Alligator mississippiensis: one gene and its partners. The main gene of each other region encodes a partner of the protein of the gene in region 3 in a complex. Links are inferred from orthologs where the notes say so. Each region holds a gene or a part of one and is shown on either strand. Other genes may lie near its edges. The genes, in order: TXNL4A, PPIH, PRPF4 and LSM6.

Region 1 (7,496 bases), on a different chromosome or scaffold from region 3:
CATTTATATGCTTGGTTTCCAAGAGTTTGAGTTTATTATACATTAACTCTTGTGCCTCAGAAGTTTGGCTTTTGCTCAACCTGACATTCTAGGAGGGCATGTTGAAATTTCTGAGCCTGGCAACAAGAGAACTATTTAATTAATTAAGTCAAAGAGAATTTGAGCCTCAACTAGCAAAAACGGGGGAGGGGTTGGAAGAAAATGCTCTATAAATAACATTTTAAATTATCAAAATATCTTAGATTCAGCTCAAGTCAGAATAAATGTGCTTGTACCTTCGGTTCCTGTTGTGATACAGAATTTTCATGTCAAAGGCTTTGGCCCGCTTGGCCACTTTATAGCCAATCCTGCCCATTCCAATGATCCCAAGGGTAGCCCCAGTGACTTCCACTCCCAGCCAGTCAACAGCAAAACGCTCAGTGTCTGGAGAAACTGCAATCTGACAACCTAAAAAAAAAAGTGAATAAATTGAAATAAACCGATTATGAAGGAATTTAAGATGGAAATTAAAAAGAGAAGGAATGTTCACAAAACCATCAAAAGAATGAAGTTCTGGAATAGTTCATAGGAGTAAAGGGGGTGTCAAATATCCAAGTACTTTTAAGATGGAGTTTGACCAGTTTTTTAAAGTGATGTATGAAAGTTGCATACAATAGCAGGGAATAAGGTCTCAGTGGCCCAGGGGATTCCTCCTGATCCTATGTCTCCAATACGTTGATTTTTGCTGAATGAATTCTTCATTGTTTGTAACGTTTTCTTGGATGTTTGCACTTAGGTTAGACAGAGGCCTTAATCTCGTGAACAGTGACTTGTGCTGGAGCAGGTTTGGGTACAAGGTATAAGAGGAAAAAACAGAAAAGCAGCACCACTTGAAAAGCTGAATCCTCAGTGCTTTTCTTCCTAAATAGATTCCTAAAAAGTATTTCAGCCAGGTGAACGATGACAAAGTGAAAAATGGAAAATGCCAAAACAAGCTCAAATGGAAGAAAAACATCAGCAAAGGAATTAAAAAGGTTACCTTCCACTAGTCTTCTGGCAGATGCCAACATCAGGGCCATCCCTGTATCTGCTGTGGAGTCAGATACAGCTTGTGGAGTATTAGTCACTTTCACTCCAAAGCTAGAAATCAGTTTCAAGTCCAGGTGATCCACTCCTACTCCGGAGTTGGCAATCACCTTTAAGTTAGGCAGGCTTTCAAGGAGTCCCCGGTCAATGGTGGGTCTGCGTTCAAATATGAAAATAGATTTGATTTTTTCACTCAGTTCTTTTTTGTTTTCAAGAAATTCCTTCATGGTGATAAGGTGAAAGTTCTTTTTCAGGAGCCCCACATGGTTTTCCAGAACACCTTCTACTCCTCCAACTCCAAGGATCAGAACACCAGGCAGTTCTTGGTCTCCCATGACCTGCCAAAAGGATTAAGAGAAATGTTCCCTTATACATGAGAAATGAACAATTTGCTAGGGAGCAGCTATAGCCACACTTGTAAATTTGCACTTAATGGAAATAAATACTATCCTCAATAACACAATGTGAACCTACTCACAAATTAGCAGTGATCCTTAATTGAAAGATGTGGGATCAGGCTCCACCACTGAAATCTGGCCCTCCTGACTTCAGATCTAGAATCTCTTGGAGGGCATGGCCCTATATAATTTTGATTATCCATGCTTTGCTATCCTTTAGCTTCTCCATATCCAATGTCTCTCACTTCAAAAGCCATCAATCATTTTAGTCTCAAGTTACTTTCATTCCACGCAACTCTCATAGCTCTTCGCTATCACTCTTGAAAATGTATATCAATAATAATCAAGATTCATGAAACAGGGATAGCTAAGAGTTATTTTAAGTTCTCTGCATGAATTGCTTTGTGTGTGTGGGTGGCTGGGTATGTATTTAGGTCTCACGAGCACACACTGGCCGGACCCAGATATTCAGGCACATGCAGTTTGTAGTCTTTGATGACTAAGAAATTTCCTTTAAATCACACGGTTGAAGACCACTTCCTGCTCAGGGGCAATGCGTACGGGGTGCACATGGGTGCGTGTCCACCCCCTGAGCGTGGTGATGCACCCCCTGCAAAAAGACCACCCCCTGCAGGCAGTCACCCCTTGCCACCCCGCCGGTGGCATCTGTGGGCGGTCCACGATCACCCCTGGCTGCCACCGCCGGCAGCACCTGGGGGTGGTCACCAACTCCTGGTCAGTGCTCGCCACCCACCCCCTGCAAGTGCCAGCTGCATCTATGGGAGCTCTGTGCTTACCACCACCGGGCTCCTGCTGCCACCAGCGCAGCTGTGCCCCGCCCAGCTGCTGGGGGCATGCGCCGTTCATGCTCCTGCTCTAACAACCGACCTACTGTTAATTTGATAGTTCTTAATTAATAGACTTAATTTGCCGTTCTTATGGTTCCCTGCATCAAATCGGCTGTTTGTGCATTTAATGTAATGACAGTTTCTGGACTGGCACCATAAGAAAATGAGGTTAGTTCACTAACAAAGTAATCCAGTTAGTACACAGTTCTCAGAGTCCTTGTTTCTCAGCCACATCATCCTACTTAGAGCTGAGTGGCTTGCTACCTGACATGTTTTTGGAACTCAGTGGCAGCCTTGCCCGGTAAAGACCTGCAGCTGGTACAGGTCATGAAGAACAATACCGCTTACATTCCCCAGAAATAACTGATGATCCTTAAAATGAAAAGCAAAACTCTCCGATGTATTACACCATTTGTTCTTAGCCCTCGAGGCTTCCTCATACATGCATACAATACGCGACTGATCCGAATCAGATTCACATCTGTATATGATTTAGAAGAACTTTCTATACAGTCAACAGGAGTAAGAAAAATGATTTGTGCGGAGGCCGGATGTGCAAATAGCTTGCCAAGTTGCGCGCAAACCCACGAGCCCAAGTTGCTTTCCCCCTCCACCTTGCCATGCTTTTACTAAAAAAGATGGGAGCCACCATTTGCCATTACTCTCTGATCTGCGCTTCACGATCCTTTGTTCCAGTGCAACCAGTGCATCAGGTCTCCACGCCAGGCTTGGGGTATTGCTGAATGGGACTGGGTTGCCAAAGGGAGAAACCTCTGACAACCCAGGCCCATTCAACACTACCCCACACAGCTGAAAGCCTGCACTGAGCTTCCCACTGTTGTGCCTAGACTGGGGGCTGCTTGACCCCGGGGTGATGCCCGAGACCCGGCCCCTGGAGCAGCCTCATCAGCCCAGGGCGGGCTGGAAACCTGGTGACCATGGGGAAACGGTGGCTGCCCCCCTGCTGCTGAGAGTCTGGAGCCCGGGGGAACACCACGGGGCTGGCCTGACCCCACATCATACTCTTGCCTGACCCGAGCCACCTCGGGCAGATCCACCTCAGTGTTGCCAGGTGTACAATCATTACCATATCAGAACCATCATTTCAACCCTTGTACAATGTACCATCAATAATAGTAAAAGTGCTCAAAATATACAGTAATTTTGGAGGCAGCAAACTGATGCAGCATACGCAAAACCCACTTCACTCTCAGTCTTACCCGACTTTTGGGTTTGCTACTGGCGCTTTCTTATGCCTCGAAATAAAGAAATGCTTCAACTTGAAGACCCAGTTCTCACCCACTCATTGACTTATAATAAGCAATAAAAAGTAAATAAGGCTCATTTGCATGCTTATTTGGCATATCTATTTTGCATATTTTTTCAGTGTAGACAATTTTTCAGCAAATCCGATCATTTTGAGCTTCTGACAAACCATTTCATATTTAAGACATAGCCACGCTGATCCACCTGCGCCCCCTGCTCCACCCAGATGCGAGACCAGGCAGGGGTGAGGAGGCCCCGCGCCTCGCCCCCTGCCCCCAACCCACCCCGGCGCGCCGACAATTGCGCGCGCCCAGGCCCGTCCGGCTGCTCTGCCGCTCGCCGCGCAAGCGGGGAAGGGCCACGGCCACCCACAGGTAAGCCCGGGCCGCACCACGCCCCCAGCCCACGCACAGCATGGTCGCCCGGCCGCCGTACCGCCCCGGAGTGCAGCAACCCCCACTCCTCCCAGAGCCTGGGGGCGCCCTGATTGCCCGGGGCGCAGCATTTGTTCGTCTGGTGGTATGGCCTGGGCTCCCCCCCACACTCTGGGGGTTGGCATGTTCCAACCTGTGTTTCATTCCCTACTTTCCCCCCACACTCTGGAAGTTGGTATGTTCCAAGCCGTAGTTCTAAACTACCCGACACACACACTCTCTGTCTGGGAGTTGGTATATTCCAAACTGTAGTCCTAATCCATCACACGCACACTGTGGGGTTGGTACATTCCAAGATGTGATTCTACCCCGCTTCGCCTTACACAGTCCGGTGGGCGAAAGGAAGCAGCGAGTCTCCTCCAGCCTCGCAGCCCCTCAGGGCTCAGGCACCGGCCGAGACAGGGCGGAAGCGCTTCTTTGTTGCCTTCACTCCGGGCCCAGAAACGCGCTCGCGTCACTTCCGCTCCACCCTCCTACGTCGACGCCGGGAGTTGGGCTGAGCGGGAGCGTTGTATCTCGGTCCGGTCGCAGGAGTGGGCTTGCTGCGGCGGGGCCGCGTCTTCTCCGCGGTCGGGGGCGGAGGTCAGTGTCCCGGGACAGGGCGGGGCGGGACGTGCTGGAAGGGGCGCGGGGTCTGGCTGAGGTGGGGGAGGGGCGGGCACGCGGGATTTCCCCCCTCATTCGCGACCCTGTGGTCCGCAGGCCTCGCGCAGGTCGGCCGCCGCTATGTCGTACATGCTACCGCACTTGCACAATGGCTGGCAGGTGGACCAGGCCATCCTGTCGGAGGAGGACCGCGTGGTGGTCATCCGCTTCGGCCACGACTGGGATCCCACGTGCATGAAGATGGACGAGGTGTTGTACAGCATCGCCGAGAAGGTGGGTGTGGGCTGGTGCCCGGCAGAGGCCACGCAGCCTCGGGCACTTTGTTGGCCACCAAGTTGTCCGTCTGCGGGATGGTGCATTTCCCGCCCTTGCCCAGCATGTTCTGGCAGGAGGCAGGGGAGAGACATGCCGGACAGATGTGGCGGGGCCAACCTGTGGCACAGGCAGGCTCCGTGTGTGGTAAACAGCAGGTCAGGCAGGGAACAAAAGGCAAAGTGTGGGAGCAAGCAGGGAGCGGAAAGCAGAGCAGCAAATTTGGAAAAAGATTAGAGTCCCACTCGCGAAGGGTGCAGGTCTCATGGCATGCCTACCAAAGCACTTGGCCCCCACTTGGACGGTTTAACTCAAGGGTGTCACATATAGGGCCTGCAGAACTGAGCTGGTCTGCAGCGTCCTGTCATCTGGCCTGTGGTGCTGCCTGCGGGTCTTGGAGTGGACCCACGATTCGTGTGCTGCGTGCGCTGGGTCAGCCCTGCACCCTGCATGCGGCACATGAGGCCAGGGCGAAACGGCATGTGGGGTTGTGCTGGGTACGTGCTTCCTGCAGAGTGCACAACTAGTCTGGGGCTCGTGCTGCATGTAGCACGTGCAGCCAGTCCAGGGCACCCACTGCATGTAGCGCCCATCCTTTGCTCACCCTCATGCTGGTTTCAGCATGCAGGGCTGGTCTGCAAGCCCGGTCTGGCCCATGGATCGGTCCTGCTCCATTCATCCAGCCGGTGGACCAGCCCCTCACCTTTCACCCTGGCTCACAGCGCTTGATGAGTTTGACACCCCTGGACTAACTGAATCAGAGATGTATAAGCTTTCATGAGAGCAAGAGCTCATTTCATCAGATACTAAAAAGGGACATGTTCTTTGACATTCAGTCAAATGGAAACAGTGCGGTTAAATTAAAACATTGATTTCTATTTGTTGTTAATAGATAAGGATTTAATTAGTGGTGCACTAATACATCTGCCCCATCTTGGATCAGCAGCAATATAAGGAAAATTGACAGTATTGGCAATCAACTTTTTTTTGGTTGATGTGGCTGATAATGTTGCCAATAAATGCCCTGTGCGCACACGCAGCTGTGGCACAGCATGCAGGAAGCCAGGAGTGGAGCCTGGTAGCGTGGAGCACAGCTTGGTCTGGCTGGTAAGTCTGTTGTGGGGGAAGGGGTGTGAGGGGGGCCAGACTGAGGCCCCTGCAGTGAGGGCAGGAGTGGGGCTGGGGCAGGGGAAGGCACTGCATAGCTGGGGCACGGCACAGGATGGGGCCTCCAGCAGGTCATCTGGAGGACATGGGGAGGGGGTAGCAGCTCCCGCCCTGCACGCACTGTGGGAGGGTATGGTGGGGCGTGTGTCCCCGGATCTGGGCACAGGGCAAGGGCAGGCAGCCACTGTGGGCCGGGGCCAGGGGCAGCGCCGGACTCTTCCTGGTGGGGGGGATTAGGCCAGGGCTGCATTTAGGGTGGACAGTGGCGGTGCTGGGATCAGGCCTACGGCAAATTTGGGGTGGCTCCAGCTCCTTCTCCCCCTCTAGCTCCCCTCCAATCACTGCTGTAGCCCTCGCCGAACGCAGCTTGGTCCAACCCCCGGGGAAGAGCTCAGCGCTGCCCCAGCCTGCAGCAGCAGCCCACCCGTGGCCTGTGCACAGATCCAGGAGCGCATGCCCCCCTCCCCCGCGTGCACTTGGCAGGAGCTGCCCTCCGTGTGCTTCCCAGACGAGCAGCTCATGGCTCCATCCCTCACCCCACCCCTGCTGTGCAGTGCCTGCCCCAGCCCCGCTCCCTTCCCACCTTCTGTGCCCCCCACAACAAACTTACCAGCTGGATGCTGCTCTCCAAGCTGCTCCACTGCATATCATCAATCAGATCAGTATTGTCCAATATGGCTCATTAAAAATAGGCCATTGGTTTAAGCCCAAAACGTCTCTATCGGTGCACCCCTGGATTTAATAGCTTAATCTGCAAAGAGAAAGAAGCGTGTGTGTAACCAAACTAGTAGTAACATTATAGATAAGTTCATGTTGTCATTATTCCTTTTAAGTGAGAGAATGTAACATTAATACACTAGCAACTTTTTAATTGGAATAGTTTAAAATATTGACACACTTTGGCATGCCTTTAAATAAACACTTCCAGCAATTTAAAAGCCCAGGAGTAGGCTGTGCTTCACTTAGCATTTGCTAATGGACTGTATTTAGACTTTGTAAAACTTGTTGAAATCTGTGCATGTTGTGCTAATCTGTGAAGCTTTTCCAAATGGAAAAACAACACCCTATGAACACAAGTAAGTCTCCTGTTAAGCAGTTTAGATACTGAAAAGAAATTAAGCATTGTTTATGTAAATAGGTGATTAACTGTACAGCCTCTCTTACTTGTACCACTATGCAGCAGCACAGGACATGTTAAGCAGAACTGTCAGCAAACTCAAATAAAACACAGGTAAAAAGAACCAGAACAAAAAGGAATATTATCTGAATTTGTGTCAGATGGCAGTCAGTAATTATTTTCAGAAATGATTGTGCCTTTTTCTACAGAATAACCATATGTGAAGGTGTTTCTGTATTAGTCATTGCACAGTGTTCTTAGGGGCACTCTGGTAAGGCTACTG
Region 2 (7,004 bases), on a different chromosome or scaffold from region 3:
TGATGAAGAACTGACACCCATTTGTACTTGGACCACTGTTTGCCTAATTTAAAATGCAAACACATGCATATGTTAGTGAACTGAACATCTCGAGCCTGGAGGAGCCAGGATACTTCAAACAAGAGTGCTATCATCCCAGCTGGCCTGCACGAGAAATGTTTATCACAGGAATTAACATCCACCTCCAAAGGGCCGGCTTAGTACCTAGATACTCCACTAAATAAACCACTGGTCCAGCACGTCAGTCTCTGTACTGCCACTATGCAATTTTAAGCTGCTGGCGATGTTTCTATAAAACAAACCATGGAGCTGAGAGCCAGGAAATAACTGGTAAATCTCAGAAATGATGGGTGGAAGATGCAGAAACCTTTCTAGTCTTACTACCTTGTCCGCCTTACACTTACCATAGACAAGAGTCCAGGAGCAGAGTGTTTGAGTTTGAAGTTTTCATCTGCAAAGGGACCTCGGTATATACTAGCCACCCCAGTGCCATCTCCCTGTGTGAGGAGGGAGGCAATTATCAATCCCATCTCAGGAAAAGCATGTTTTTAAAATAATTCCAACAGAAAAGCACTTTGTTAACCAAAATTAAGGTTGAGGCTGTATTTTCATTTAGAAAAAAACAGTGTTAAGAAGAACACTAGAAATGAAAACATCTGAACATTGTTGAGCCTGGAAACCAGAAGTCAGCGCTCCACCCTAATCCTGCATTTGATCCTCCTCCCCCTTCCTCACGTCAGTTAGTCACAGACCGACCCCCAGGCCAGGTGAAACCAGAGGACAAGCGCAGAGACGGCGCGAGGGAAGCAGGTAGATTCCAGACCTCCAAGACCCGCCAGATGAAGTTACGGATGAGTTCGGGCTGCGCAGGGTGCACGTTCCACCGAAAACAGAAGGCAAGTAGGAAAGACAAGGATGGCTCTCGGGTTAGAAGAATGAGGGATGACAAGTGAGGGAGGCGCCTGTCAGAGGCTGAAGCTGGCAGAGATGCTGCAGAGTGGGGGCATGGGGGGCTTTGGCATCGCCAGAGTATATTCCATGGGTCTAACCAGGTATTCCCCCTCTTTGCTGAAAGGGCTTCTGGGCTCCAGCCACCTCCTTCCCCCCCGTCAATGCCCTCTCGCTCTTTCCTCGTCTTTCATTTACATATCCCCGCTCACTAAGCAACAGGTTCCAAAAATAAGTTAAACGGTTAAATACTGCCCCATGGGAAGAACACCACTCTGCATCTTTAAGGAAAGGAAACGGACAAACTCATAATACCTACATTTACAAAGTCGCCTCCCTGGATCATGAAATCCTTTATCACCCTGAAAAGTAATTAAGAACAAAGTAAACGACTGCTTCTCTGTGAAACATCTTCCCACAAAGTTTAGTATCTCAGAAACGACAGAGAAACAGCCCATGCCACAATAAAATGCACCTAGTGACTAGGTGATGGACTCGACATGGGATGACCTCTGACTTTGGACAAAGGCTGGACAGCGCTGCCTGTGCCCTGGGTGATAAGCACCGAGAAGAACATACTTTTTATCCGGCAAGTACAAGAGTGGCCCACAGAGGCAGAGTCGCCCAAACTATAGATGCAGGGCAGAGACTTTAGAAAGAAAACACTCTTCAGATCTCCTATCCCTCGATGACTACAGGATGCCTCCTACTTTAGGGACTGCTTTCAAACCCGGGCACCAGGCTGCGTCTAGGTCACCGCGCTGTTTTGAACAAGAGGAAATTGACTTACCGGTGGAAAGTGCTCCCCTTGTAACCTATAGGGACACCATCTTTCCTACAGCAAAAGACAAGGACACAGCACTGCAAGGTGCCGCTCGTCGCAGCTCGACACTTCCAGTCGGGCTAGAACCCCGGAGCCCGCGTGCCGGACCGACGGGCCCCCCCGCGCCCGGGACGGCCCTACAGCACCTGGCAGCAACAGCCATTCAGGCAGCACGGGGGTGGGAACAAACACCATCGGACTTCTCTGCTTTCTGGTCACGACACACCTCAATATGCCGCTTCAAAGGAGCGGTGCGCTGACCCCACGTACCTGAATTCACCCGTGCAGAACTGCCTGGAAAGAGGGGAAAAGAGAGCGCGCAGCACATGAGTCGCCTGAAAGAGGAATTTGAATCCAAACCCAATCACCGCTGCTCTGACTGCTTTACTGAAGAGGGACGAGGGGACTCCCCTTCCGAGCAGCAAGTGACACTGCTGACAGGAGCAGCAGCAACTGCGACCCTTCCTCCCCAAGGGCTGTTTCTCGGCATCAGCCTGGATCAGATGTTGGATGCCGAGAACGGGAAGAGCCAAAAACGTGGATTTGGGCATCACCCCCTGGAGACCCGCAGTGGGAAGGGGGGGCTGTGACGCCCGTCGAGAAGGGAGCGGCGGGCGCCCTCTCGTCAGACAGGCCGACGGGAGACCGAGGCATTCAGCTGCCGCTCCCGCGAGGCACGCTTGGGACGGGCCCGCGGAGGCTCGGAGCGACCCCGAGAAACGCGGCCAGCCACGCGCACGTCTCTGCTGGCTGCGGAGAGCGGCCTGGGCCGGGCCCGGACGGACCCAGCGACCAGCCTGGCTCACCGGGCACCGCGGGCCCAGCACCGCGCTCGGGGCCGCCACGTCTCCCCCAAGCACCGCCGCGGGGTCGCCACCGCCCGGGGACCGGCGCTCGGGCCCCCGCAGGGAAACGCGGGAGGGGGGGAGGGGGGGTGGCGCGCTGCGGTCCCGCCCCGCCCCGCCGCACCTGAAGTTCTCGGCCGTCTTGGGTATCACGTCGGCGAACAGCTCGATCTTCATGCGGCCCACCTCCTGCGGGGCGGGGAGGGGAGAGGCGAGGCATCAGCGCCGCCCGCACCCGCCCCGCCCCCCTCCTGCGCCCCGCGCCGCCCCGCCCGCACCTGCCCGCCGATGGTGACATCGAAGAAGACGACCGGGTTGTTGGGGTTGGAGGCCAGCACCGACATGACGCCCCGCGGCCCGGAACCGGAAACACGGCGGCGACTTCCGCCCGGAAGTCCCCGGCCCTGCGGAGCATGCGCGGGAGCGGCCGCCTCCGTGGGCGGGGCCAGCGCCACGTGCTGCGACAGGCGGCGGGCTGCGAGGGCGGGAGGGGAAGGCGGGGCGGGTTCGGGGCCCGCCAGGAGACGGCGGTGCCGAGCTGCCTGCGGGGCCACCAGGCGCTCCAACGGGCTCGTGCCCGACCCGCCAGCAGCCGCTCTCCATGCCGGCCCGGCCCGGCCCTTCCTGGGGCTGCCGGGCCGCCCGAGGGGCAGGGGCGGCTGCCACCGCGGCACCAGAGGCCGGGAGCGAGGCCTGGGGCCGGCCGCCCACCCGTGCTGCCTGCCGGGCGCCCCGCAGCCCTGCGCGGGTCCGGGCCCGGTGCGGAAGGAGCCTGGAGCCGCTGCTCGCCTCTGCTTCAGAAACCCCCTAGAAGCGCCCTGGACCTCCAGACAACCAGCGTCAAGCGGAGAAGAAACATTTTTTAAAATAACACTTTAATGAATTACTTTATGATTAAAAAAAAAAATAAATCCGACAGCTTTGGGACAAGACGTTGAGCTGGGCAAACAGCTGAAAACCAGTCACCGAATAATTTAGTTGAGAGGTGTCACAAAATCCACGTAATACGTTATTTGGCGAATGCTCCTCCCCTCCTTGTGCCCCGCGGCAAGGGAGAGCTCAGCTCCTTGCCGGGGGGCCATAGACATCGTCGCAGCAGAAACCCGGCCTCTCCTCCTGCGCCTGCAGGCTGGCGGGGTCTCCGGGGGACGCCACGTTCAGGTAGCCCATCTCGGAGGGCTGAGAAGGCGATAAGGAAGACGAGGACTTTTGGCTTTCAGCGCCTTCGTCGGACTTGGCTTCTTGAATGGCTCTCAGCACGCTGAGCGAGTCCGACAGCCCCGCCGCTGAGAAGCTGCAAAAGAATTCCCGCCCCGTGTTCGCTCTGCAAACAGCGTCTCCAGCTGCGTCCTCGCGGGGCCCCACCGCCGCCACACCCGCGTGCCACATGGTCTTCGTGCTGCTACCCCCGGGGGCGGGAAAGGTCTAACGTAGAGACAGGCCAAACCCCAGATCCTCACGGGCACTCAGCTGCCTTCCTCCCGAGGAGCCTAATGCCCATTCAGACCCGTTAACTGCCCCCTCCTGTTGGCAAGGTCTGAGACTCTAACTGTGAGGTCTGTCGTGCTCCCTCGCTGCAGCAGTAACTACTAGTGCTCGGCTGTGCTGCTGCAGCACTTGCAGGCCCAGTCAAAGATCGAGCTCGGGGCCGTGCACAGTCACAGAAAGCCCCACGGGACTTGCAAACTAAAGGAGGCAGCAGCTAGTAGATGCTGGTTAGCTCCACCCCTCCGTCCTACCGCACGACCAAAAGACACGAGGGAATAAAATAAAGGGTGAAACTTGTGTTTTGAAAACAGGAATCCATGGCTTCCCTATTCCCCAGTGCTGACAGGACCTGCTATTAGTAAGCAGACCTGGTGCCTTTTTACTCACGGGACCTACCTCGTGTTTGGAAGTGGCAACATTTTACTCAGTAGCTGGCATTCAGAGAAGCCAACGCTCCTCAAGTCCTAGGAAAAGAAGCAGAACAATAATCAACTGATAAAAGGCAGGGAGGGCATGCTCAAGGCAATAAACACGTTGCAAACAAACCAGAGAGGAAAGGGATATTTTCACACAGTATTTAGAGACGGGAAACTTGGGATCTCAGATGCACGGGAGAAAATTCCAAGGAAAGAGACAGCACGGAGGAAGTTTGTGTGCAGAGGGTTGGCTGGGTGTTTGTGAATGAAAGGGAGTGGCTAGTTCCTAAAGGACCGGAAAAACAAAACCCAGAACAAGAGTCCCATGAGCAAGTGACGTTGATGGAAATATTTCCATCAACTAGCACTGCTCCAGTTAGGGAACTATTTCAAACTGGAAGCCCTAAAAAGTGACAGTCTAGACAGCCCTCGGTGCCCTTGGGAGAACGTACAGACTACGAGAGCAGGTTCAGCCACTGCTTTCTGGATGGGAGCACCACACTGCTGCTCCCCCAATCTAGCCATCCCACACTGGCTATCACTTCACATTCATTTACCTAAAGTTAAGTACATTTAGACACTTAGACGAGGTTTTCCAAAGGAGCAGATGGGTGTTGGACATTCAAGTTCCACCAATTTCCAAATCGCAAAGCCCAGTTTTAAATAAGTGGCTTGACTGTCAGGTTCTGAACGCTGAGAGGTGCCTGGTACCCTGGCAAACCGGGGCCTGCCGTTCAGCGCCTGGCTACGAAGCTATGGGGATGGCTGACTACTCGGTTCTGGAGTCGCACTGAGAAAATGGAGACGCCATTTCAGGTGAAACAAGTGCCTGAAAAAGGTTCCATTTTGGCTAAAACAAAACATTTTGTTTGATCCAAAACAGTTTTTCGTTTCAGTTAATCCAAAACAGCATTAAATTTGGTCTCTAAAGATCATTTTGAAGCAAAACATTGAAATGTTTTGTCATTCTTAAAACAAACCATCTCAACTGTTCTGGGTTTTTTCAGCCCAAACTATTCCAGACATTGCATCAATCCACAGTTGTTTTTTGTCAAATAAACTCTTCATTTTAGACGTCCCCAGGCACCCGTTTGATACTTTTGGCTCACTTGTGAAGGTATCTAAAATTACCCACTTTTTACAAAGTTTTCTTGGTCCCAGACCTTCCCCATCATTCAGATATTTTTAACAACTGAAAAACAAAAAAAGATCAAAGGTAAAAAGCATAACCTTTGTCGCTGCAAAAAATGGCCTAATAACCCAGCAGATGGAGGGACAGCCTGCCTCAGCATCCCAGGAATGAGACAGCCCTTCACATCTAGGCTACTGGCTCCAATTCAGCTACTCGAGCAACCAGATCCCTGCCGCCCACCATGCATTTGGTGTCCTTTATGAAATGAGCTGATGGGCCTCAGTCCAATCCCCACGGGATGGAGACACTAATAATACACGTTATCTATAGCAGCCCGAGCAGGAAATCCAGAGGCAGTGAGCCTTGTTTTGTAAAGATCTCAGCATGCAGTAACTCCTACTGAAGATAGGGCCCAATCAGGGGTACTGCTCACTCTGGAAAATCATAGTAAAACAGTTACTCAAGACTCCAGTGAAGTTCCTTCCAGCTTAAAGCTGGGGTATATTGGTAGGAGACTGATGGGGGAAATTGCTCTGATGCAGCTACATGGGGGAGAAGGTACCAAAAGACGGCGCATCCATCTTACCTCTACGCCATGAGTCTGAATGTTCCTCAGAGCCCGCTCCAGACCCCCAACCTGGTTGGAGAGCTGTATGGTGCTTTCCTGCAGTCGCTTGTTTTCTTTGTCCAGGAACTGCACTCTGCGAAGGTCACACACACACACACAGAGCAGTTTACTTCCCGCACGTGAACCTTGGCTTCTAACCGCTTGATGTTGTCAGAGGGGCATTTGCTCTCAGCCTCTCTACACAGAAAGGACTCAGGTAAATTCTCTGAGCCTGCTGCCCCCACAAGACGCGTGCTGCAGAAGTCAGGTTCCACGCCCCACCAGGGCCAAGCCCATTCCAGGTGAAGCGGCCTTGACTACATCTGTTAGTTAGCCCGAGCCATGGTTGTGTTACTCCCGGTTTACTCCACACACAGAACAAGGGTTTCATTAGTTACATGGGCAATAGCATTGCAGAGCACAGACCCATGAGACGAACTTCAGCCCTCCTGGTTTGAACTCTGGTCTAGGTTGCTAAGCTAAAACTGCTCTTTCTGCAAAGTGAGATAAGTAACGGCACCTGCTCTGAATTGTGGAAATGATCCGCCTGTTGTTCCGACCAACTTCTTCCTGCTCATTAACCTGCTGTAAGAGTTTTCTGTTTTCCTGGAGCAAACGGTCATTCTCTGTGGTGACCTGCTTGATCAACGCATGTTCCTGTGTGTAAGGAAACATAAGGAAATAACAACAGCAACAGTACCTAACTCTTACCTGCAGCTTTTCATCTCTAAGTCTCACAGCACTT
Region 3 (7,087 bases):
GGGGTGGAGTTTTAAACTTTTATAGTATTGACTAGGGCGTCTGTTGTTGCATCTTATTTTGTGGGTTGTTTATCTGCTGCTGTATACCACTCTGAGCATTTCTAGACAGAATATACATCTAAACAACAGGTTTTCAATGCATGTCATGTGCATGTCACCACAGCTCTGCTGATTTTAGAACTAAATTGAGATTCACAATCACTCCTTACCAACCCCCCCAAAATAGACAGAATGGCTCTGCATCCACCCCACTCCCTTAGGAGAAGCCTGAGCAGCCAGGCAGGTTTCGTACCGTGCCTTGTGCGTGACATTATTGCTTCCAGAGGGAGCAGACTCCAATGTCTGTATTCTTATTGAGCATTCAGGGCCCCGTAGGTATGAAATTAGGTACTGTCAAGCCAGGTCTCTCTGTTTCTTTCTACTGCTAAATTAAAGTAAGGGTAAAGAAGAAGTTATCTCAATGTAGCACCCAAAGTAGACAGATAAGAACATAAGAACTGCCATTTACTGAACCAGACCATAGGTCTGCCAAAGCCCACATTTCCTTTGTGTGTCCAATAGGCCTGTGTCACACTGATCTACAAGACCAGGAAGAAGGCTCGGGCTGGGGGGAAGCCGGGCAAGTGTGGAGCTGTCTTCCTTTTGCTCTTCTGCTAGTGTCTCCAGGCAGAATATCACCGATCGGTGTCTACAGGCTCCCTCGGCTCGTTCAGGGGGCAGTGGGCACTGGCTGGTGCACACTGCTCCAGTGTCCCCTTCTGGCTCCTTTGTTATGAACCTGCGACCTCTCTCCCTCTCCTGCTTTTATCACAGAATCATAGAAAATTATGGTTGGAAGGGACCTCAAGAGGTCATCTAGTCCAACCCCTTGCTCAAAGCAGGCCCATCCCTATCTATATTATCCCTGCCAAGGCTTTGTCTAACCAAGGATGGAGAGGCCACAACCCCTCTGGATAACCTGTTCCAGTATTTTATTACCCTCCCAGTGAGAAAGTTTTTCCTAGTATCTAACCTAAACTTCCCTTGCTGCCCTTTGCTTTATCATCTGCCACCACTGAGAACAGTCTAGTTCAGGAGTGGGCAATGATTTTGGCTGGAGGGCCACTTAATGACTTCTGCTGAGCTGTCAAGGGTTGCACACCTAAAATCTTTTAGAATATATAATTTTAACAAATTATAAATAAAAAACAAAATTATACTAAAAATCAAATATCTAAAGCATATTTTAATTTTATTTAAAAAATATTTTTTGTCTTCGTTTATGTTTTTTGAGTAGCATATATAGAGGCAACTGCATAATAGCTCAAAATACAGTAGAGGTGAATCAATACATTGGTCTGATATTGGATCGGCACCAATATCAAGAAAATTGTCTATATCGGAAATCAGCCTTTTGTGGGTAATAAATGGCCCTTGTATGCGCGCAGCCATAGCACAACACATAGGCAGTGAGGAACACAGCCCCGGGCAGTTGCAGCTGGTAAGTCTCTTGTAGTGGAAGGGGAGTGGAGACCGGGGCAGATCAAGGCCCCTCTGGTGAGGGAGGGAGTGAGACTGGGGAAGATGCTTCCCAGCCTGGGGGCAGGGTGGGGAGAAGGGGGAGGGTATGGCACAGAGTCACAGCTGGGGGGGGAGGCAGGGAGGGGCGGGGCACGGGCATGGGAAGGGGGGAGTGGCTCCTGCCCTGCACACTGCTCATCCGGGAGCCGCTCATCCGGTGGCTCCAGCTGCTGCTCCCGTCACTCGTCCAGGAGGGCATGGGGGGGTGTGCCCCCTTATCTGTGCAGAGAAGGGTGGGCCAGGGCTGGGCCAGGCTGCATTCAGGGTGGGCAGTAGCACTGGGAGGGGGCTATGGCGGGGACTACAGCAAATTTCGGGGTGGCTGCAGCCCCTCCAGCCCCCTCCCACCGCCACCACCACCCACAGCCCAGTCCACACCCCTGCTGGGAAGAGCCCAGTGCTGTACCCTGCCCCTCCTTGCCCCTCAAGGCACACGCCCCCACCCCTGTGTCCTCCAGGGGTGCGCGCAGCAGTGGGAGCTGCCCCCACCAGATGACCTGCAGCTCCATCCTGTGCCCCACCCCACCCCGCCCCAGCTGGGCAGTGCCTGCCCCACCCCCACTCCCTCCCTCACTGCAGGGGCCTTCATCTGCACCCCCACTTGCCTTCCCCTCCCCCACCCCTTCCACCACAACAGACTTACCAGCTGCACACAGCTGTTTTGGAAATCAAAGTGGTATTTGCTAATATGTCTTCTTAAAAATTGGCTATCAGTATCAGCCCCAAAAATCTCTATCAGTGCACCCCTAAAATACAGTCTTACTCTAGTATATTGTGGGGGGTAGGGAGGCAGTGTGTGTGTATGTGGCAGAGGGCAGGGGGGTGTGAGGAGCTGCCTAGTTGCTAGGTCCTGGGAGCTGGGCAAAGGTGGGGGGCTAGGGGCAGGTGCAGCAGAGCTCAGCCAGGTGGTGCAGATGCAGGTGTGGTCAGCTACTCCCAACCCCACACCCAAGCCGCAGATGCCCCTGCGGTGCTCCACATGGGGCTGAGCCCTGCCTGGGGCAGTCCCATCTGCACCTGCTGGCTCCAGCCAGCATGCACAGCTTCCCCAACATGCACAGCTTCCCGGCAGGGCTGCAGCTGTTTAGGTATTGCTTGGTCTCCCCCACACCTCCAGCAGCTCCTCCTCCTTCTCCTGCCATATGCGCCGGGAGAGGAGAGTGGTGGGGAAGAGCTGCAGCCAGGAGGCTCCTGCCCCAGTGCACCTTCCACCCACTCTGCCTGCCCAGTGTGATGAACAGACATGAGCAGCCACCTCTGGGTGGCCGAGTGGACAGAAGATGGCTGGGAGCTGGAGGTCAGCATGCTGGGGAAGGAGCTGCCTGGCTGCAGAGTCCCTCCAGCCTGGAGTGGTGCAGCAGGGGCAGGAGGAGGAACCACTGGAGGTGTGGGAGCAGCCCCGCCAGGAAACTGTGCGCTGGCTGGGGCCGTTGGCAGATGTAGGCTGCCCTGGGCAGGAGAACAAGTCGAGCCAGGCTCCATGTGGAGCACTGCAGGGGCAGCCACAGGCTGGATCCAATCAACTGGCTGGCCGGCAGTTTGCCCACCCTGGTCAAGTTCCATCCTCTTTGTGATCATCCTGCCAGTAGCTGAAGGCTGCTATTAAATCCTCTCTCAATCTTCCCTTCTCCAGACGAAAATAAGGCCAGTGCCCTCAGCCTTTCCATAAGTCATGTCCCAGCCCCTGAGCCATTGTTGCTGCCCTCTGCTGGACTCTCTCCAATTTGTCCACATCCTTTCTATAGTTGGGGGGGGGGGGGGGGGGGGGGGCAAAACTGGACACAGTGCTCCAGATGTGGCCTCACCAGTGCCAAACAGAGAAGAATAATCACTTCCCTTGACCTGCTGGCAACACACCTACCAGTGCAGCCCAGTATGCCATTAGCCTTCTTCAGAACAAGGGCACTCTGCTGGCTCATATCCAGCTTACTGTCCACTGTCCACTATTATCCATAGTCCACTGTAACGCCCAGGTCCTTTTCTGCAGAGCTGCTACCCAGCCAGTCACCCCCGGCCTGTCCCGGTGCACGGGATTGCTCCGTCTTAAGTGCAGGACTTTGCACTTGTCCTTGTTGAACCCCATGAGATTCCTCTGGGCCCAGTCCTCCGGGTTGTCTCGGTCCCTCTGAACCCCAGCCCTGCACTCCAGTGTACCCACTACTCCCCCCGCTTGGTGTCATCCGCAGACTTGTCTTTCTCGCCTCCGCACGGCGGCGGAGCTCCCCGGGACGCCCCGCGCACGGCAGGCGGCCCCGGCCGCGGCGGCCCCTGGGACGGGAGCGCCGAGTGCGGCCGGGTCTCGACGCGCCTCACCTCGAGGTCCTTCCTGATGCTCTCGAACTCCTCGATGTCGTCTAGCTTCAGCTCCAGGCGCGTCGGCTTCCGCCGCAGCATCGCGAGCGCCACCGGCCCCGCCGCCTCTCGCCGGCAACCGGACAGCCCGGCCCCGACCGCTGCCGCAAACCTGCCCACTTCCGGCCGGCGCCTCCCGGCATACCCTGCGCTCACTTCCGGCCGGCGCCTCCCGGCATGCCCCGCGCGGCAACCCGGAACCAGTTGGGTGAAGACAGGCCCGTAGTGCGGAGAGTCCCTGCAGCGGCCGGTGTTGCCGTCGCCATGGCGTCCGCGCGGGGCCCTGCGGTGCGGGTGAAGCGGGGCTCGGGGGATCGGGGCGCGGTTGGGGCCGGGCCGGGCTGGGCTATGCGATGCGGGGTCTCTCGTTGCGTGCACCGGGCCCAGAGCGGGGGGAGGGAGTTGGCGTTTCTCCTTGTCCCTGATTGTGGGCGGCGCGGGCCCACCCCGTGAAATCTGCTTCTTGCCCGGGTCCGCCCGGCGCCGGCTCCCCGAGGTCCTGGAAGGGATCTGAATGCCCCCGGCAGGGCCATGGCCCCTGGTCCCTGGGTGAGAATCACCGCAGCGGAGGGGTGCACGGGAGTGCTGCGTAACACCGGTGGTTGTGAACACGTCGATCAGTTGTATCCCTGCAGCAGGTTTTAAGACTCAGGTAGACAAAGGGTTGGCTGGGATGATCCAGTTGAGGGGGGCCCTGCTTCAGGCAGGGGGCTGGACTGGATAAAATCGGAAAACGAGGGTTGGAGGGGACCTCAGGAGGTCACATCTAGTCCAACCCTCTGCTCAAAGCAGGACCATCTCCAACTCTACCGTCCCAGCCAAGGCTTTGTCTACCTGGGTCTTAGAAACCTCTAAGGATGCAGACGACGTCTCTGGGTAACCTGAGGCCTGTTCCAACCCTCGTTTTGTATGACTTTAGACTTAAAGTTGAAACATCCCGTTATAAATTTGGGATCATACCCTGGCAGCATTGCAGTTGCTGGGAAATTTGCTAGTAACTTACAACAGGGTTGGATTTTTGTGCCTTTATTTTTGACTTGCTGCCCAACCTTGTGTTTACTCCCTAAAAGTTGAAGGGATATGTGCTGTTGTTAAGCACAAATTGATATGAGTGCATCGGAAAGCAAGTCTGGGATATATTTTTACACGTTGTAAAGAGGCATAAATAAAGAAATCCCTGCCCGGTTTCCTTAAGCATAATTTGTGTTGAGGAATCCCTTCCCTGTTCAGAGCTAATGTTCTAGGTATAATTTCAGGGTTTCTGGTCTGGGTAGACCAGAAACCCTGAATGATTTGTGCAGCCAAAGCAGTTTGCTGAATTGCTGCTCCCAAGCCGGATACATACTGAACCAGTCTGTTAAAATCTTGCTTTTATTTTGTAGGCAACAAAAACCAAGATCTCAGACGAGAGTGATGCTCCCCCAGTCAAGAGACCTCATATCTTCTATGGAAGTTTGGAGGAGAAGGAAAGGGAGCGTATTGCCAAAGGGGAGCTGGGGCTGCTAGGAAAAGATGGGATGAAAGCTGCAATTCAGGCTGGCAACATTAACATTAGCAGTGGTAAGAACACACTCTGTATAGTGCTTTCAGCTTCTTTTCTTGCTTCTGGCTTAGAGATATTTAAAAAGACATTTTTGTTGGGGTTCAGCTCAGGGCTTTAGGACAGCCCCTGATCTGCTGCTGTGTTTTAATACAGAAATTTTGGCTGCAGAGACTACAAGCCATCCAGTATTCCATCATGATTTGAATGGGGGTGGGAAGTCCATTGCCAGCACTGACCGTCCCTACCCTAAATGGGCAAAAATATTTATAGCTTTTAATGGTTATAGTTGTCTAAGTCTCTGGTGCAGTTGTCATTGCTTCAATTTGATGGCTTTGTTTCTGGCATAGGTGAGGTCTTCGATCTTGAAGACCATATGAGTGAGCGCCAGGCAGAAGTGTTGGCTGAATTTGAGCGCAGGAAGCGTGCTAGGCAAATCAATGTTTCCACCGATGACTCTGAAGTCAAGGCCTGCTTACGAGCTCTTGGGGAGCCCATCACACTCTTTGGAGAAGGGCCTGCAGAAAGAAGAGAAAGGTGCTGTGTCTTGTCCTTTGTGTGGCCTGCCCTGTAACCAAATCATAAATCTCTTGTAAAACTCCTTGAGCTGTTGAGTGCACTGAATGCTGTTGCCCACTGTTCCTTCTCAGTGATATAACAGCAACTGATCAATTTCTTCTTCATTCACTCTTTACATCTGTCAGACATGGTCAAGAATGCCTGAGAAGTTATTGACTGAATCTTATTTAATGCTTGGTGTGTTTCATTTCAGATTGAGAAATATCCTCTCGGTGGTTGGCACTGATGCCTTAAAAAAAACGAAGAAAGATGACGACAAGTCTAAGAAAGCCAAAGAAGAGGTAAACATCTCTCCCATTCTTGGATTCTGCAGGTTATTAATGTAGAGAGAAGGAGACCATTTTATAGAAACCTTCAAATTCCTTCATGGACCATCTGTAACATTTCCAGAGCTCTGACATTGATTTTTTGGTATCATTAGACAGCCTGATAGTGTAAGGTGGACTTATCAGTATACGACTTATAGGACAGTGACATCCTAAGGCAGGGGTGGGCAAAATGGTGGATCTGGCTAGTGGTCAGACTTCTTTTCCCAGCAGCCCCTGTCCATGTTGCTACAGCCGTTTTCCATGGCTATCTCAGAAGTGGTGGCACTGTGACAGCGCGGGGCCAGGGTTTCCATGGAGACTGGCCCCAGCAGTGCTGGTAGGGCGCGTGGCAGGGCAGGGAGCTGCTCCGCAGCCAGGGCTGGGATCTTGCAGTAATGACAGTGTGGTCTGGAGCTGGAGCAGAGCCACAATCCATTGCACGTATGCCCCTGCCTGGGACTTGCAGGCAGTGTTCCCTCTAAGGAGCAGCGGTCCATGAGTGTGCCGCCTCGGCCTAGCATGGGACACTTACCAGAGGGGGCTGGGGGCTAGGGCTGGAGGCTGGAGCTGGAAGCCGGGAGCCAGGGGCTGGAGCTGGGGCCCAGGGGCTGGGCCAGAGGCTGGAGCCAGGGGCCAGGGGCTGGGCCAGAGGCCGGAGCCGGGGGCCAGGGGCTGGGGCAGAGGCTGGGGCTGAGGGCCAGGGGCTGGAGTCGGAGCCTGGTGCAGACTCCCTGGCTCCGAGGAAGTG
Region 4 (7,227 bases), on a different chromosome or scaffold from region 3:
TCATGGCTACCCATGTTTTGTTCCTTACAGAAAATGAATAAACTCAATTTATGGCAAAGTGGGCTTACGCCATTGGATCAGAAATTAGTACTGAAAAAATGGGAGACCATCTGAAATAATGGTCCCACACAATAATAAAAGAAAATTATTTTAAAACCTTATATCAGTGCTCTCTCACGCCACTCAAAATTTAATGCTTTTATGGTAGAGACAAATGTTGGAGGGAGTGTGGTTGTTTGGGGAACATTCCACTACATGTGATGCACATGTCCCAGAATCAGACTGTTCTGGAAGCAGGCTGGAGACATGGTGAAGGAAATAAAAGGATGCCAACTAACAAGATAACCACTTAGTGTTCCTGTTGAACCTTCCTATGAACTCTGCACTTACAGAGGTCACAAGGAATTATTCACTCATCTTCTAACGGCTGCAGGAATTACAACTGCAAAAATCTGAAAGATGACAACTCTAAAATCAATGGCTAGTTTCCAAACGCTTGGTAAATTTTAGTGATAGAAAAGTCCCACCAAGTCAGTGTTCTGCAGGGGGTGGGGAGGACAAGACAACGCTTACTTGGAAATCTGAAGGAGTATTTTGGAATTTACTTACAAACAATCTTCTACCTTCAAACCAGAAAAAATCTGAGAGACTTTAACTCTCCTCCTCTGTTTTTCAACATATGATTAGTCCTCTTCTCTCTTCTCTGGACACTTTCTCCCCTGCAACTTAACTCCCTTTTCCCATGGACCAGATGCAGGTACTAGTGGATGGCAGCTCTGTAGATGCCTCATTTCTCTTCCTCTTCAGTAGTTGAAAACTACTGGCATTTTTACACGTGCTCCAGGGTGCTTTAATTAGAGCAGCTCTCCAAGGGCTTTAATTAGGGCTTCAATTAGAACAGCTCTCAGTTAACAAAAGTTTGTCTAAAGTGCCCCTGCTGCCATTTTGAAGTGTGGGGACACCAGTACACAAGAGGTGGAGGCTGGATGGCGCACACTAATTGGCAAACTCCATCAGACTCAATTAATCGAGTCTGTAATTTCAGCATGTTGGAGCAGCTTCCCAGCACATCTACAGACACCCTATAACAGAGTCAGCTGCCATGTGCTCATACCTAGCTGCTTTACATGCTCGAAGCTTTCTACTACTGATAGTAATAAAATGGATATTAGTAAAGACAGCCAACTCTAGACAGACTACTGACAAGGGTTCCGGTGAACACCAGAGACTAGTTTGTAAAATACATAGTCTGTGACAAGCTGCTGAAAAATGAAATTCCCTACCAACTTATTAACATATTACTCTGCAATGTGAAAATAAACACAGATTCATAGATGTTAGGGTCGGAAGGGACCTCAATAGGTCATCGAGTCCGACCCCCTGCATAGGCAGGAAAGAGTGCTGGTTTCAGATCACTCCAGCCAGATGCCTATCTAACCTCCTCCTGAAGACCCCCAGGGTAGGGGATAGCACCACTTCCCTTGGGAGCCCATTCCAGATTTTGGCCACTCTAACTGTGAAGAAGTTCTTCCTAAATGTCCAGTCTAAATCTGCTCTCTGCTAGCTTATGGTCATTCTTTCTTGTGACCCCCCAGGGGCACATGAAAGAAGTCATCACAAGAAGATGAAAGGCAATAAAAGATAAAGCTCAGGTGTGACTTGACAACACCAGCTAAACCTTTCAATCAGTTTTTTCATCAACAGATTTTTTTTGGGGGGTCCTTAATAAACCCTTACTAAACAGGCTTGGACAGTGGTTCTCAACCTTTTTAGGCTTGAGGCACCCCTTGATAGACCCGAGGCACCCCTGGGAAAATGCCAGCTCTTAGATCTCACTATTTTTTCACCAGAGAAAAATAACAGAGCAATTCTTCTGCTGCAAAGACCTCTGCAAGACCACAACAGGGCAGAACGGCTTTGACACTGGGTTTCCATTTGAAATCTCCGTGTTTATCGTATGAACGCTGCCTGCACACCAAACAGTGCTAACACTCTACGGCACCCTTAAAAGGGCCTCAAGGCACTCCAGGGTGACGCAGGGCCCAGGCTGAGAAACACTGCACTAAAGGAAGAGTTATTAGAAGAGGAAAGAGCTGAGGGGAAAGCCAAAATCCTAGAAGAAACCCAAGGCTGGCAGTAAACACAAAGCTGGACATGAGCCAGTCGCAAACTGCCTGCACAGGTCTCAAAGAGGCCACTGTGCACCTAATGCTGGGCACCTCCGGACCAGTACGGGGGAGAAAAATTAGCAAAACAGAGCCAGCAACAGCCAGAGCCCCTCCATGACACATGTGAGATGATCCAAGTGGACACTGAGGTGCAGCTCCCCAGGCAGCTGGCAGGGGAAAGCAAGGAGCAGGGGTTAGTTATCAGCGGCTGTCCCAGGAGACGGAAGGGGCAGCAGGAGACTGAAGAAAGGGGCAGCTCTGGGGAGCGGGACGTGGATCTGCTGTCGGACGCTGCAGTGGGGGGGGGGGGACCGAAATGCACCTTCCTAAAATAAAACTGGACGAAAACTGCCTGATCCTCGTGTTGTGCTGTGCGGCACAGATGTAAAGCATAGGCGCATGCACACACACAACACACATGCATGCAGACGCATGCACAAACACGCGCACCCGTTCCCGTCAGCGCCCGCGCAAGGGAGGGCAGGGCAGGGCAGGGCAGGGCAGGTCATGACCCAGCGGGGTGCGCGCGCAGCAGCCGACCCTGCCGCCGCCGCGGCATGCGCATGCGCAAGCTCGGCCTGCGCGCCACAGCACCGCGCCACAGCATCGAGCCACCGCTCCCAGCCTGAGGCGCCCCGCGCCCAGGCTACGGCGCCAGGCAGTTCACTGCCGTTGGCCGGCAGCGGCCCGGCCCCTGCCCCTGCCCCGCGCGCCCTAGCTCGCTCACCCGCGCGCTGCTCCACCCGCTGGCTAGGAAAGCTGCCGGGCGCACGAACAGCCAATCAACGCCTTGCTACGGCGAGCTGCCGGGACCAGAACTCCCTGCTTGGACAAGAACGCGTTCTGCTGGGGACTTGGGGCGGGGCCAGCACGTGAAGCCGCTGCGCTGCTCTGCGCTCGGCAGGGTCCCGCCCCCGCCCCAATGGGATCTGCCCATTGCAAAGCTTCCGCACCCACCCTCCAGTGCCCTTTTTAAGGGTCTGAGGCCGCTGCTTTGCTGCCTTGGGCTCCGTGCACGGCGGCTCAGCCAAGCCGAGCCCAGCCCAGCCCAGCAAGTCTTCTTAGTCCAGGGGTGCTCAGCCAGGGTGTCTTGGCCCAGTGGTACCTGGGATCCTGTCCAAGCTGCTTCACAGGTTGAGCCCCGGGATGGCCCCTAGGAAGCCCTGGCTGTGGTTGTGCAGCAGAAACCCTGCCCTGCTACTCTCCTGTCCTTAAATAAAGAGCGAAAACGAAGAGCTGGGGGGGTGTTGTAGCCGTGTTAGCTTAAGGACATAGGCACACAAGGCTTTTTCAATAAATGATATCTTTTATTAGACCAGCTAAATAGTTAGGGAAATTGTTCTTTGCAAGCTTTTGGGCACAAGCACCCTTCTTCAGGCACAGGAAGAGTCTGTGGATGTTTCGTGCTCTCCTGGATGGAACAGAAGCCAACGTGTAAAATGCAGGCCTGCAAAAATGCAAATGCAATGGCAGCGAGGATCAGAGGCCATGGGGGACAAGAGGTGTGAGGCAGGTGTAGGGGTGGGGGATTATTGACCTGGTGATAATGTAGCTGGTAAAATGTAGAGAGGTTACCTGGGGTTATTGAAGGTCAGGCAGATTATAATGTACTGTAAATCTAATGTCTGTTTAGTCCATGATTTTTTGTATCCAGTACATTGAAGAAGTGAAGTTCATAGGCTCGTCTGTGAAAGGTGTTTTGTACATTATCTTTGAGGATGAGAAGTGAGAGACTGGAGAGAGAGTGGGTGTGTTGTGAGAAGTGTGCACCCACAGGTGCTTGGGTATTTCTGTCTCTCATAGATTTCTGGTGTGTGTTCATTCTGGTGCACAGTTATTTCTTGGTTTCTCTTACATATTTTCCATCAGGGCATGTAGTGTGCTGGATGAGATACAGAAGAGCTGGCATTTCCCAAAGGCTAATGAGTCTAAAAAGGTTGAGGACCTCAGCCTCCCTCTCTGCCTGCTCCTGCTGCTAAGACGTGGATGCCAGCAGTCACCTTAGTCATAGTCAGCTGCTGGTTTAATACAGAAGGCCTCAGATTAGAGTCCAAGGTTAAAGTCGCACGTTCTGCCCCTAAAGCTCCCTCTTCTCTTTGTGCTGTGAAGTGTATGCAGACGTGGAATTTGGAAAGGGGGCATGGGGACGGTGAGGTGCATCATCACATATAACAGCATTTATCTTTCTTCAGTTAAAAAGAAATTAGAAGCTTCATGTAGACACTACAGGCCTAGGGCTGTGTTACTCAGTTTAAGAATGAAGCAAAAGCAAACCTAACTTCATAGGAATGAGTTAAAAACAGTCTGCAAAGCTGAGAATTAGGAGCTTCAGTATCAGGAGCAGGGAACAGACAGCAGAATGGCAGAACAAAGGATAGCGTTTTTGGTGGAGCATCAAGACCCATGGAAAGAAGCCATTAACACCTGTGGAATGAAGAATTTAGATGGAACCAGGTGGGATGATACTGAGCTATCGAGTCAATTGACTCCCTGAGCAATGCCTGACTAGAAATGCTGCTGCTACTGCCAGGCAGTTCATTTTAAACTTTGTGTAGAGCAGGAATCAAAGTGGGGTGTGAGTGCACTCCCTCGGATCTGCCCCTGAGCTATGTGTGCTGGGGCATGTTTGCAACCACCTCTCCACGGGCAGACTTCTGCTAGAAGAGGATGGTAAATCAGCCCTTCCTAACATGGGGCTGTGAGCCAGTAAGGAAGGGTGTCCTCCCATTCAATTTGCTGGTGCTTTCTTGCAACACTGTTAATTTTAGATCCCTGCAGAATGTGCATCCTGGCCCATGCTTCTCTTTTCAGAGGCTGTAAATATTTTTAAATGATGGTCAACTTTCCAAACCACTGACTTCTTTGTCTTGCTTTTTTTACTATAGCTGGTCATACCTGAGGTGCTGGAATGCCAGAGGAAAGGTAACATTGCAGGTGGTGTGATGTGAATGCCTTCCAGCCATGCTCATGTTTGGTTCATATACCTGCTTACAGCTGATATTAGAACATCTCCCTCATGCACTGTTCACCCATTAGCCTAACGGTGCTTAAGATGAACTGTATTTGTACAAATATTTTATTTCTATTTATTATGTGTTGTGTGGGTGCCATGCTTATGAAAGATGCTTGATTGATAGCAGTGGAATGTACTCTTTTGTTTTCAAAGCAGAAGTTGCAGCCGTTCAAGCTCCTTTTATTGCAGGGGTGTGCAGTTATTTGGGCCCACAGGCCATATTGGGAGTTTTGGTGAGCTGTTGTGAGCTGGGTCAGCACTCCCCTGCCTGTGCAACATCTCACCAAAACTCCTTATGTGGCTTTGCTCTGCACATGGCAGGGTGGATGGGATGGGTCCGTGAGCGAGCAGGGAGCAGTGTCCAGGAGTGAAACAGGCAGGTGAAACTGGGATCACAGGGCACATTGTGGGGCATTGACAGCATGGGGCCAGGGTAAAGCCACGATCCACTGCTCTCACTGCCCTGCGTCCCGGGCATGGGTTCCACAGGCAAGGGGTGTGCAGGCCCCAGCCCCATGCTGTCAGCACCCCAAGATCCTGGTCTCAGCCCTGGACATAGCCCTGCTGCGTGCCCAGAGGTGGCAGGACTGGGCATAAGCACCACAGCCCAGGCTGGCCCCTGGGCTGGGTGGAACCAAGGGACCTGCCACAGGCCAGAAAAAAATCCCTCAGTAGGTTGGATCCTGTCCAAGGGCCATATTTTGCCCACCCCGTCTTACTGAGTCTACAGCATGCTTTTCAAGCTTTTCTGGAGGTGTCTACTCTAGGTTTAGTGCCATCTAGTCTAGTTAATTCTTTCTGTCTATTCAGCATCCCATTCTTAGTTGTCATGCCATGACTGCCCACACAACATCTGTAACAGTGATCTTGTTATTATGAAATAATATAACAGTAGTACTTCTATAACAGTGGTGCTTAATCTTTAAGCCCCTCAGGCCAGGGGAGTGGTGAGAGACTGGGGAGTGGTGAGGGACCAGTCTATGGGCTGGACCCGATGCATGGAGTTGGTCTGTGGGTACCATCTGGTATACTGGCCTGACACCACACATGTCCCAATCTGGGACACCAGATCCAGCCACTCACCATCTTGACCCCATGCACCAGATCTGGCTACTGACCAGTCTGATCCTGCTGCATAGTGTCTGATACCGGTCTGATCCTGCTGCATAGTGACCGGACCCCATGTTCCAGATCTGGCTGCAAACTGGCTTGACCCCACACACCAGCATAATTTAGTACACAAGGTATGTCATCTGGCACAGAGCTCCCCATGGGTCTGGAAATCTGGCAGCAAGGAAGCTGCAATTAACACTGCCACCACTCCCCAACTGCCAAATTTTTTGGACCCATGGCAGCACCCACGGACCAAATGACATACATGGCCTTTCAGGCTGGAGGTTGAACATCCCTACTCTATAAAGGCATGGCATGCCAGTAGGAGGCCTCTCCACCAGTTAGGGGTCTTGGATCATTATCACTGGATGGGAGGGGCTGCTACTTGTTTAGCATCTTCTCCCAGTTAAACTTGTCCCAAAATACAGTTTTTCCCCAGGTATGCATAACCCTTAATCTCTGTCATTCTTCTAAAGCAGAGCCACAGCTGTGCCTGTACTGAATCCATCTGCTGCAGTTCCCTTTGAATTTTTCCACAATATGTTGGGCAACAGAATCTAGCATGCTCTAAGTTGTTCTGAAACAAAACTGAGATATGAAGCATCCCGCTTTTCAACCTGAGCTATACAGGGTTTTAAGAAGAGACCCAAAGATTCTTCCTCATCAGATATCCAAGGTATTTAAATTAAACAGCAAACTTCTGAAAAAAAATCTCCCAGAATTGTTCTCTTGTCATCTTCTTCAACAGCAAAGGAACAGTACTGCTCAATTTTCCCATTAAGAGAAAGAGAATTATGCACAAATTTGAAAGGTATAGGAGGGGAAAAAATAATTGTCAGAATTTTAATGTGCATTATTTCCTGATTTGCTGAAAGCTACTCAGGCTCATAGGAAAAAACTCTTACCGCTTAAATCTGAGATTTTTATACTGCA

The links.
Region 1: PRPF4 (region 3) and TXNL4A share a complex: the UniProt entries of both Homo sapiens proteins name them as parts of the precatalytic spliceosome. The link is inferred for Alligator mississippiensis from reciprocal best matches to the Homo sapiens genes PRPF4 and TXNL4A.
Region 2: the proteins of PRPF4 (region 3) and PPIH are in contact, whole or in part, in a crystal structure (PDB 1MZW), measured with the Homo sapiens proteins. The link is inferred for Alligator mississippiensis from reciprocal best matches to the Homo sapiens genes PRPF4 and PPIH. Residues at the interface, in NP_004688.2 of Homo sapiens: Arg113, Gly116, Glu117, Pro118, Ile119, Thr120, Leu121, Phe122, Gly123, Glu124; in NP_006338.1 of Homo sapiens: Phe14, Arg26, Phe46, Cys47, Thr48, Gly49, Pro57, Ile58, Gly59, Tyr60, Lys61, Gln173, Cys174, Gly175, Glu176, Met177.
Region 4: PRPF4 (region 3) and LSM6 share a complex: the UniProt entries of both Homo sapiens proteins name them as parts of the precatalytic spliceosome. The link is inferred for Alligator mississippiensis from reciprocal best matches to the Homo sapiens genes PRPF4 and LSM6.

The regions. Positions count from the first base shown.
Region 1 is NC_081826.1:113,462,539-113,470,034, reverse strand, and holds the start of TXNL4A (thioredoxin-like protein 4A), read left to right. Parts: upstream 1-4,492; 5' UTR 4,493-4,593; intron 4,594-4,713; 5' UTR 4,714-4,737; coding exon 4,738-4,890; intron 4,891-7,496. Other genes in the region: probable 2-ketogluconate reductase, read right to left, coding at 276-447, 1,019-1,403, 4,284-4,301. UniProt on the Homo sapiens protein: Plays a role in pre-mRNA splicing as component of the U5 snRNP and U4/U6-U5 tri-snRNP complexes that are involved in spliceosome assembly, and as component of the precatalytic spliceosome (spliceosome B complex).
Region 2 is NC_081836.1:1,379,679-1,386,682, reverse strand, and holds the start of PPIH (peptidyl-prolyl cis-trans isomerase H), read right to left. Parts: upstream 3,002-7,004; 5' UTR 2,961-3,001; coding exon 2,895-2,960; intron 2,806-2,894; coding exon 2,741-2,805; intron 2,066-2,740; coding exon 2,042-2,065; intron 1,784-2,041; coding exon 1,739-1,783; intron 1,311-1,738; coding exon 1,268-1,310; intron 498-1,267; coding exon 405-497; intron 44-404; coding exon 1-43. Other genes in the region: CCDC30 (coiled-coil domain-containing protein 30), read right to left, coding at 3,676-3,910, 4,501-4,568, 6,239-6,353, 6,780-6,916. UniProt on the Homo sapiens protein: PPIase that catalyzes the cis-trans isomerization of proline imidic peptide bonds in oligopeptides and may therefore assist protein folding. Participates in pre-mRNA splicing.
Region 3 is NC_081835.1:49,104,115-49,111,201, reverse strand, and holds the start of PRPF4 (U4/U6 small nuclear ribonucleoprotein Prp4), read left to right. Parts: upstream 1-4,079; 5' UTR 4,080-4,089; coding exon 4,090-4,206; intron 4,207-5,294; coding exon 5,295-5,472; intron 5,473-5,802; coding exon 5,803-5,989; intron 5,990-6,224; coding exon 6,225-6,312; intron 6,313-7,087. Other genes in the region: anaphase-promoting complex subunit CDC26, read right to left, coding at 3,874-3,954. UniProt on the Homo sapiens protein: Plays a role in pre-mRNA splicing as component of the U4/U6-U5 tri-snRNP complex that is involved in spliceosome assembly, and as component of the precatalytic spliceosome (spliceosome B complex).
Region 4 is NC_081825.1:100,697,850-100,705,076, forward strand, and holds the start of LSM6 (U6 snRNA-associated Sm-like protein LSm6), read right to left. Parts: upstream 3,004-7,227; 5' UTR 2,896-3,003; intron 1-2,895. UniProt on the Homo sapiens protein: Plays a role in pre-mRNA splicing as component of the U4/U6-U5 tri-snRNP complex that is involved in spliceosome assembly, and as component of the precatalytic spliceosome (spliceosome B complex).